2 linked regions of the Xenopus tropicalis genome follow. The protein of the gene in region 1 purifies or fractionates together with the protein of each later gene. This does not show direct contact. Links are inferred from orthologs where the notes say so. Each region holds a gene or a part of one and is shown in the gene's direction. Other genes may lie near its edges. The genes, in order: cks2 and pkmyt1.

Region 1 (4,334 bases):
ATCTCCAGTAGGCTGCCACCTTTTCTGGAAAAAAATACCAGCCTTCCTATATTTGTTTCTTTTTTTCCCTATTAATAACATTGGCATCATCATCTTTGCCAGCCAGGCCGGTAAAATACCGGCCAGGTGGCAACCCTTATCTCCAGGGGATAAGCTGGTCACTAATGCTTTGCATAGTGTGAAAAATGTTCCATAAAAATCAAAAGATCTTTGCTTGGACCTGACTGGTAAGCATGACCCAAGATGTAACCAAGTACCATCTTTAGCGTTAATAATGCTGGCCATCCATACTAGCTGGTGCATATTGCAGTTATATCCACAATCATGTGTGAGCTGGAGTTCATGCAATTCTAGGTCAGCCAGTTTCTCTTTACAAAATCCAAAGGGGGACTATCAGATGGTCAAACTTGTTTTTCTCTTTTTGATAAACTACCTATTGTGAGCATTTGTTTATTTGTGTTCGGGGCCCACACACTAACAACCCCATCATAGCTGATATAAACGAATATATTATACAAAATAATTGTCTCCTGCACAGTAATAGTCAGAAGACATTCTGTGCATCCTGATATTAAAATATGTTACACCAGGTTCAGTCATGAGATAACACAGTGACCGCATGTTTTCTTGCTTTACTAATCTGATCAGTGAAACTGTTTGTACAACTATTTATTTCCCTTACAGAACCAGCTTTTTGAGTTGCCACTGGGCTGGTATTTTACCAGTCACGCAGGTAAAAATGGTGTTTTATGGCCTTGCTCTAATCTTATTAATAGGGAGATAAGATAAAAATAAAGAGAAGCCTTTATTTCATTTTTTAGAAACTGCGGCAAGCATGGGCAAAATATTTGTGCTTTCTGAGCAACAAAACTCTAAAATTCAAGTCTCCCTGGCAATAATAAATATGTATGCAAAACCTGTTAAACGTAAGAAAGACCCATATATGTTAGAATTGATTTTTTTCATTTACTTTATCATTGCATTAAAATTTGCGTAGAAAGTTTAATAAGCATTCTACAGCTACGTTATCACCTGTACTAGGCTACATTTTCCCTTAACCAAAATGGTGACTACGGCCAATCTAATTTATGCGAATTTAGCTCCGCCCTAGTGTCGTAGACGCCGCACGTCTTGGCTAAAGCCCTTTGGAAGCCCAGCAACTGGCCTTTGATTGGTTCATTTTATGATGCGCGCGCAGAAGATTAAAAACGTTCTTCTGATTGGACAAGAGCGGAACTTGTCGTAGCCAATTATCTGTAAGCGCAGCACAATTCAAAGCGCGACTTGCTAACTAGTGGCGGTTAGAGGGAGCAACCGATTCAGTAAAGCGTCACCTTTACCCGCCTGTAGTGGGGGATAGGAGAGCGAACTTGTCCGCGGCATAGCCGCTACTAACAGGAACATGTCATTCAAAAACATTTACTACTCGGACAAGTACTCGGATGAGAACTACGAGTACAGGTAAAACTTCGGTGGGATTTGTGACAGGAAGTCTCCTCATGCGGTCCTGCATGGGTTTGTGCTAAGCCTGGGCCAGCGTTGGCTGAAACGTAAAAAGAAACTGCGCCATTTTTGCTGGCATTAATTCTGCAGCAGCTGTGGAGTAGTGTGGGATGCCTAATTTTGCTTTACAGCCAGCTGTACGGGGCATTGGAGTTTAGCTATACATGGAGGGTAATTGGAGCCGAATGAAGTAAATCATAGTGTGTATTCATGTGTAGGGATCTGGCCATGTGTGCGGCACTGGGGCAAGAAGATTGCTATCATCTCTGCAAAGTGCTGCACAATGTCAGCGCTCATTAATACATTCTAATGTTTTTATGTATCTGTGGGCTATAATGCCACCTATTCGTGCCTAACATGGGGTTCTAGTTAAGAGCCACTTGTTTCTGTGTGAAAGACTGTAGCATTCTGCTGTAAATATTTCAACATGATTTAAGATGTGATGTTTTCAGGTGTAATTTCAGCCCAGTGTTTGCCTGCTAGAGAGTATGTGCTGGAAGTTGTACCAAGAGATCAAAGTCTTAAAGTGGCCACTGACTTTTGGATCATAGAAGCAATGTTTGGATTAGAGTTTTTCACAGAAAGGTGACTAGGCTTAAGGGTGAAGACACACAGAGCTACTTAGTAGCAGCTACTTTTTCATGGCTACTAAACTTCAGAAATTCTCCTGCCATAGACAATACGGAGAATTGTTCTGCTTAAACACATGTAGAGTTATCAGTAAATAATCGGCATTCGGTTTTTGTAGCTGCTACTAGTAGCTCTGTGTGTCTTCACCCTAACATGCCATAGAAGTTTCACTGCATGGCATTACTCAACCATCATACCCTTATGTGTACTACAGGAGAATATCTGCTAGTCTGTATTCATGGTATCTGTACCAGTTAAAAAAGAACCTAGGCAGCGGGCCTTGTTCATTTTATATCCATTACCAGGACCCCAGTGTCTTATACCCTGGACTCATCATGTAGCCCTCTGGACATCTCACAGGCTGATTGGTTAGGTTACTTGGAAGTTTGGCCTGTGCTTTTGTGTCCGTTGATGGCCTGATGTGGTCTTACAAGATTTCAATTGGCATTTAGTTGTCTTATGGGGCCACACAACATTTGCACATTATTTCCACTGTTTAGATATATGGACAAAATATGTAGTGTAAGCAGACTTAAAGGGATAGTGATGCTTAACCACATTTAATCCCCACAGTCCCATTTTCCAATTAACGTTTAGTATGTTGTAGTTTATTTTTCCAACTTTTTAATTGGTTTCTTTTTTGCCTCTTTCTATCTTTATTTCCAAACTATTGCCCTGTTTGACAACAGTTTTATTATTGTTACTTATCTTTCTTGCAAAAACAATTGTTTGAAATGTGTTACTTCAGTGGGTAAAAAATGTTATTCTGTTTGGGGATTAATTATGTATGCAAACTTTGAATACCTTGTTAAGCCACTTTTGCAGCAGTAACAGTTTTAATGCTTTTTATGGGTAAGCATGGGCCAGTATTACTCCCACATAACATGGGAGCTTGAGCATTCTTCTCTAAAGGTGTTTATGTTAAGCTGGCCATACAGCAACAAAGATATAATCATTTGGGGAGGTCACCTTGATATGGTCAAATCTTTTGCAAGTTAAAAGCAATTTGTGACTGATATCTAACACTGCTCACAACACAAAATATTTGCCATTTTACTAAACTATATCCTGCATTTATTATAAACCACTGAAACTGAAATAGGTTTTAATGTAACATTGGTTTATTAGTAGGAAAGGGAGAAAAGAGATGTTGATATCCAATCCCCATACATTTAGAAATAGTATGTATGTACCTGCACATGCCTAAACCATGAGCCATTCGATATTCATAGTACATTGACAAACGCCTAGTGAAAGTAATAAGTAACAAATGTAAGGGGATGCAGGCAGGGCACTCACCCCCCAGTGGAATAGACTTTGGTGATCTTTGCCATCACATGTAAAATCTATTTCACCGGGGGTGCCAAAATGTTAGATCACCAAACAAGTATATTTTTCAGTGCTTTGTAGTAACTGCCTGATTTAGATGTAAACGCCAATTTAGAGTAGTGTTTTTGGGTCACCAGTGTTTGCATTTTTACTAATTTTTTTTTACCTGTGGCTAAATGTATTTCGTTTTTAAAACAGGCATGTTATGTTACCTAAGGAGTTGGCCAAGCAAGTCCCAAAAACTCATTTAATGTCTGAAGAAGAGTGGCGAAGGCTTGGTGTCCAGCAAAGCCTTGGATGGGTCCATTATATGATACATGAACCTGGTAAGACTGCTTTTAAAATAATTCCAGTTCCATTCTTAATTCTTGTTCAGATACACTACAGGGGCAATTTATCTGTAATTGTGGTAAAAAATAAATTGCCACTGTCTCCCCCCCCCCCCCCCCCCCCCCCTTAAAGGGATCATATCTGTTCAGAATTGCTTCCCACTTGAGGTGGGGCTAACAGATCCCTCACTTCGGATGAGGGGAGGCTTTTCTGCCTGCAGTGGCAGGGGAGCCTCTCTTCAGATAGCAAGGATCTGGATGCAGGATACAACCTGTATTAGGGCTGTGACACATGGCTACAAAACGCCAGAAAATACCCTGTCGTAGATAATACTAAGAACTGTCTTTGCTAAAACAGACAATTATCAATATTGTGTATTTTGCAGTCTATGTGTAGTACTTCAACTACTGTAGTTGTGTTAGCCACTCTCTGTGTAGAAAAGAATCAAGAACTCATTTGATGTATAAATGCACCCTTGACTTTGTTAACAAGTGCATTGTTTTTGTTTTTACAGAGCCGCACATTCTACTTTTTAGAAGACC
Region 2 (4,371 bases), on another chromosome or scaffold:
AGACAGCCTTGGAAGAGAGTCTGTCAGAGAGACAGCCTTGGAAGAGCTTCTGCCAGAGAGACAGCCTTGGAAGAGAGTCTGTAAGAGAGACAGACTTGGAAGAGCTTCTGCCAGAGAGACAGCCTTGGAAGAGAGTCTGTCAGAGAGACAGCCTTGGAAGAGCTTCTGCCAGAGAGACAGCCTTGGAAGAGCATCTGTCAGAGAGACAGCCTTGGAAGAGCATCTGTCAGAGAGACAGCCTTGGAAGAGAGTCTGTCACAGAGAGACAGCCTTGGAAGAGAGTCTGTCACAGAGAGACAGCCTTGGAAGTGCCGCTGTCACAGAGAGACAGCCTTGGAAGTGCCGCTGTCACAGAGAGACAGCCTTGGAAGTGCCGCTGTCACAGAGAGACAGCCTTGGAAGTGCCGCTGTCACAGAGAGACAGCCTTGGAAGTGCCGCTGTCACAGAGAGACAGCCTTGGAAGTGCCGCTGTCACAGAGAGACAGCCTTGGAAGTGCCGCTGTCACAGAGAGACAGCCTTGGAAGTGCCGCTGTCACAGAGAGACAGCCTTGGAAGTGCCGCTGTCACAGAGAGACAGCCTTGGAAGAGCCACTGTTGGCAAAAACATCTTATATGCATAAACAGGACTGGCTGAAAGAAGGTTTCTAAAATGAATGCTGAAATGGCCATATGGCCTGACCAGAGACATGACTGGCAAAGTATTACCCTTCCTTTGTAAACATTTCAAGGGACACTGTGAGACAAACTGGTAAATAAAGAGACACTTCCTATTATAAAAAGAAAGTGACAGTCAAACAGCATGACATTTGGCTCATATAACAAGCAAATATGCAGAATGTGTAAATAAAATGTTAGTGACAGGCCATGATCAGTACAGAAGATAGGCTTGTAGAGAAACTAAGCAGTAGAACTTTAAAGTGACGGGCAAGCTCAGAAGCGAGAGTGTGAGTTCCTGCGAAGAAACAGTCACAAAAATTACTATTGATGAGTCTGGTATAGATAGCAACATATACTGGATTCATTCATTGTGTTTATAGTTTAGGGAAAGGTTGTGCCAGGAGACAGACAGATTAACACATTGCTGTGAGGAAGACAGGATTCATTTTATTATATTATTTCAGAAAGAGACTGCCAAGGATATGGTGGTTGTTGAACTGGGTTTCTCATACAGTAAAACTTACTATAACATTTACTTTGGTAATCCCATGCGCCAGACATTACACGTTCCACAACTGCTCTTTATGTAAAGCCTCCCCTACAGAAATACCCCTTATAAGCAACTCCGTAGTAGAAGGCATGTTGTAGCTGTCGTGTATTTCGGGTTCCAGGAATTATCACCAGCTGTCCAGGTCACAAGAGGGTGAAGACTGACTTAGCGTTCCACAGTGACACAACATCAGTAGGGTAAGAGCAAGTGGGAATTCAAACTTAATGTTGACCACGACTGCCTAACAAACTGATCCAAAAACTGAGAGGAACCTTGCTCGATATAGTGCCTTGAGTTACATTTTTGTATGCATATTGTGTTTTTAAAGAATTGGCCAAATAAACATTTAAAGTGGCCATACACTGGCTGATTGTAGCTGCCGATTCGGCAGCTTATCGGCCCGTGTAGGGTCAGCAAAGACGGGCCTGCCCAACCAACTTCTGGCCTGAAATCGGCCAGATATCAATCCGACAGGTTAAAGAATTTAGTCGGATCGGGATCTGCATCGGCTAGTTGATGCAGTCCCCACCGACTGCGCCCATTACCGTCTTTATAATTAGATTGTTTGGCACCAGGGTCAAACGACCAAATTAGCCTAAATTTGCCAGATATCGCCCACCCTAAGGTGGGGATATCGGGAGAAGATCCGTGTATGGCCACCTTTTAGTCTCGGAGACCTAACAATTAGATCAACCAAAAACTGAAACCTGAAGCACAACAATTTGCATGATATATAAATATGCCAATTTTACTTTACCTTTAAACAGACGGGACCAACACCCACTTATATAGTGAACTAGTATTCACCCACCCCTGAGTTAGTTACTGTAGGTGCTGTTCTTCTGGATTATAAAAAAAAAATTTTCTCATTTGTATAATTAATTGAAAGTCATTTTTTTTTTGCCCACAGTCTCCTGTATCTCCGAAGAGCGAACAAGGACCGCCCTTACATTCACCTTTAACGTGCCTGCTCATTATGCCTGTTCCAGGAGATGACATGGGAGATACTCCCCTTACTCGCACCCCTATCCCTGTGCCTGCTCACTTCAGTCAGGCAGAGCAAAGCTTTTCACTTAAAAAAAGAGGGCGCTCCCTTTGCTATACCCTGCCACCCAGACCTCCAGTTAAGAGCGCTCTGCCTATTAGCCGCCTATTCCCGAACAAACAGCGGTCTTGGAGCCAGCCTAGGCCACAAAGTGTTTCTTTCCGAAGTCCCCAGAACAATCCCCCTGCAAGCGAGCTCTATGACCAGAGCAAAGGAGAGACCTTTTTCAAGCAGTGTTTTAGAAGCATTTGCAAATTAGGCCGAGGATCCTTTGGCGAGGTATACAAGGTGAGAACGTTTTGAGAAACTTTTATATCCTGAATGATATTTTTAATAAAGTTGCATCATTGTTTATATGATTATTTTTAGGGATGCTACGAAGCCACTTTTTTGGGTTCGGCCGAAACCACCCTGACGGATTCTGCCGAATCCTAAACCGAATCCAAATCCTAATTAGCAAGGAATTCAGTTCAGCCAGGACCGTGGATTCAGCCGAAACTGAATCCTTAAAAAAAAAAAAAGCCTTGTTTTGGCCCGAACCACATTCGGTGCAACCCTAATTATTTTCCCCATGGTGCATATAAATGATCTTACCATGTTTTTTGAATCGCTTTACATATAACTTCTAATCATATCACAAATTCGTTCAGATATCAGTTTAGAATATTGCCTTAATGTGTACTCGATGCTTCTCTTTAGGTGCAAAGCCTTGAGGATGGATGCTTCTATGCCGTGAAGCGCTCAGTTTCTCCTTTCCGTGGCGAGTCAGACCGCCAACGGAAGCTTCAGGAGGTGAGGAAGCATGAGAGAGTCGGGGTGCACCCCAACTGCCTGCGTTTTGTGCGAGCATGGGAAGAGAAACGATTGCTCTACCTGCAGACGGAGTTATGTGCAGGGAGTCTGCAACAGCACTCGGAAGAATTTTCTGGGCCCCTCCCTCCACGTAAAATATGGAACATAACTTGTGACCTGTTGCACGGTCTCAAACATCTTCATGATCGCAACCTTCTGCACCTTGACATTAAACCAGCTAACGTCTTCATTTCATTTTCTGGTGTTTGCAAACTGGGTGACTTTGGACTCATGGTAGAATTAGATGGAACCGAAGGAAGTGGAGAAGCGCAGGAAGGTGACCCTCGATACATGGCACCTGAACTCTTGGATGGGATCTTTTCGAAGGCCGCTGATGTGTTCAGGTGAGAATGATCTTGGAGCTGGAGCTAAAAATTAGCTAGAAGGCTTCTGGATATGCTGCTGGGCCTTGTAACAATTACTGGAGTGCTGCAGATACGGAACTCTCTCTGTGCTGCCTGTTTAGTAAATTTATCACCTTTGCTAGTACGAGGCGTATGCTTGTCTTGGGGTGGGAGATGAGGAATGAACTTGCTACACACAGGTTATGAATAAATGATTACTACTTACTTAGTATTATAACCTCACGTTTGACATCCAGCGGGTATTCTGTAGTTGGGACCACTGGGAGATAATAATTTTTCCAGCACACCAGAAAGTATTTCGCACCGTGCTGACATTTTGCAAATTGAAATTGAAAATGCACTTAAAGTTCCATGTATTATTTTCTATTCCTTTTATCACTTAGCCTTGGAATGAGTCTTCTAGAGGTCGCTTGCAATATGGAGCTTCCAAAAAGTGGAGACGGCTGGCAGCAGCTAAGACAAGGGCGTCTCCCTACAGAGTTCACATCAGGTGAGGATTTATGAAGGTATTGGGGGGGGGGGGGGTAATTGTAGAAAACCTTAATTTTCCTCATTGTCATTGCCCTGTGTGGCAGTAGCCGTATAGGTACTGTTGGCTTGGTCTGAAAGAATCTTACGCACATAATGTCTTAAGGTGGCCATACACTTTAACCTCGCCAAGCGAGCAGATCTTCTCCCGATATCCCCACCTACGGGTGGGTGATATCAGGCGAATTTAGGCTAATTCGGTCAAATTACAGTACAACGATGGTAAAGGGTGCAGTCGGTACGGGGACCACATCAACGAGCTGATGCGGTCCCCGATCCGACTAAATTTTTTACCCTGCCCGATCGATATCTGCTCGATTTCAGGCCAGATGTCGGTCCGGCAGGCCTGTCGTTGCTGCCCCTACACGGGCC

Evidence for each region.
Region 2: the proteins of cks2 (region 1) and pkmyt1 purify together in Homo sapiens (affinity purification with mass spectrometry; 3 studies listed by BioGRID and IntAct, counting the BioPlex papers as one, with this or other methods). This does not show direct contact. The link is inferred for Xenopus tropicalis from reciprocal best matches to the Homo sapiens genes CKS2 and PKMYT1.

What each region holds. Positions count from the first base shown.
Region 1 is NC_030677.2:137,844,963-137,849,296, forward strand, and holds the start of cks2 (cyclin-dependent kinases regulatory subunit 2), read left to right. Parts: upstream 1-1,374; 5' UTR 1,375-1,402; coding exon 1,403-1,461; intron 1,462-3,660; coding exon 3,661-3,788; intron 3,789-4,306; coding exon 4,307-4,334. UniProt on the Homo sapiens protein: Binds to the catalytic subunit of the cyclin dependent kinases and is essential for their biological function.
Region 2 is NC_030685.2:12,696,380-12,700,750, reverse strand, and holds the start of pkmyt1 (membrane-associated tyrosine- and threonine-specific cdc2-inhibitory kinase), read left to right. Parts: upstream 1-1,375; 5' UTR 1,376-1,406; intron 1,407-2,119; coding exon of another isoform or gene 2,120-2,185; coding exon 2,186-2,542; intron 2,543-2,953; coding exon 2,954-3,450; intron 3,451-3,854; coding exon 3,855-3,961; intron 3,962-4,371. UniProt on the Homo sapiens protein: Acts as a negative regulator of entry into mitosis (G2 to M transition) by phosphorylation of the CDK1 kinase specifically when CDK1 is complexed to cyclins. Mediates phosphorylation of CDK1 predominantly on 'Thr-14'. Also involved in Golgi fragmentation.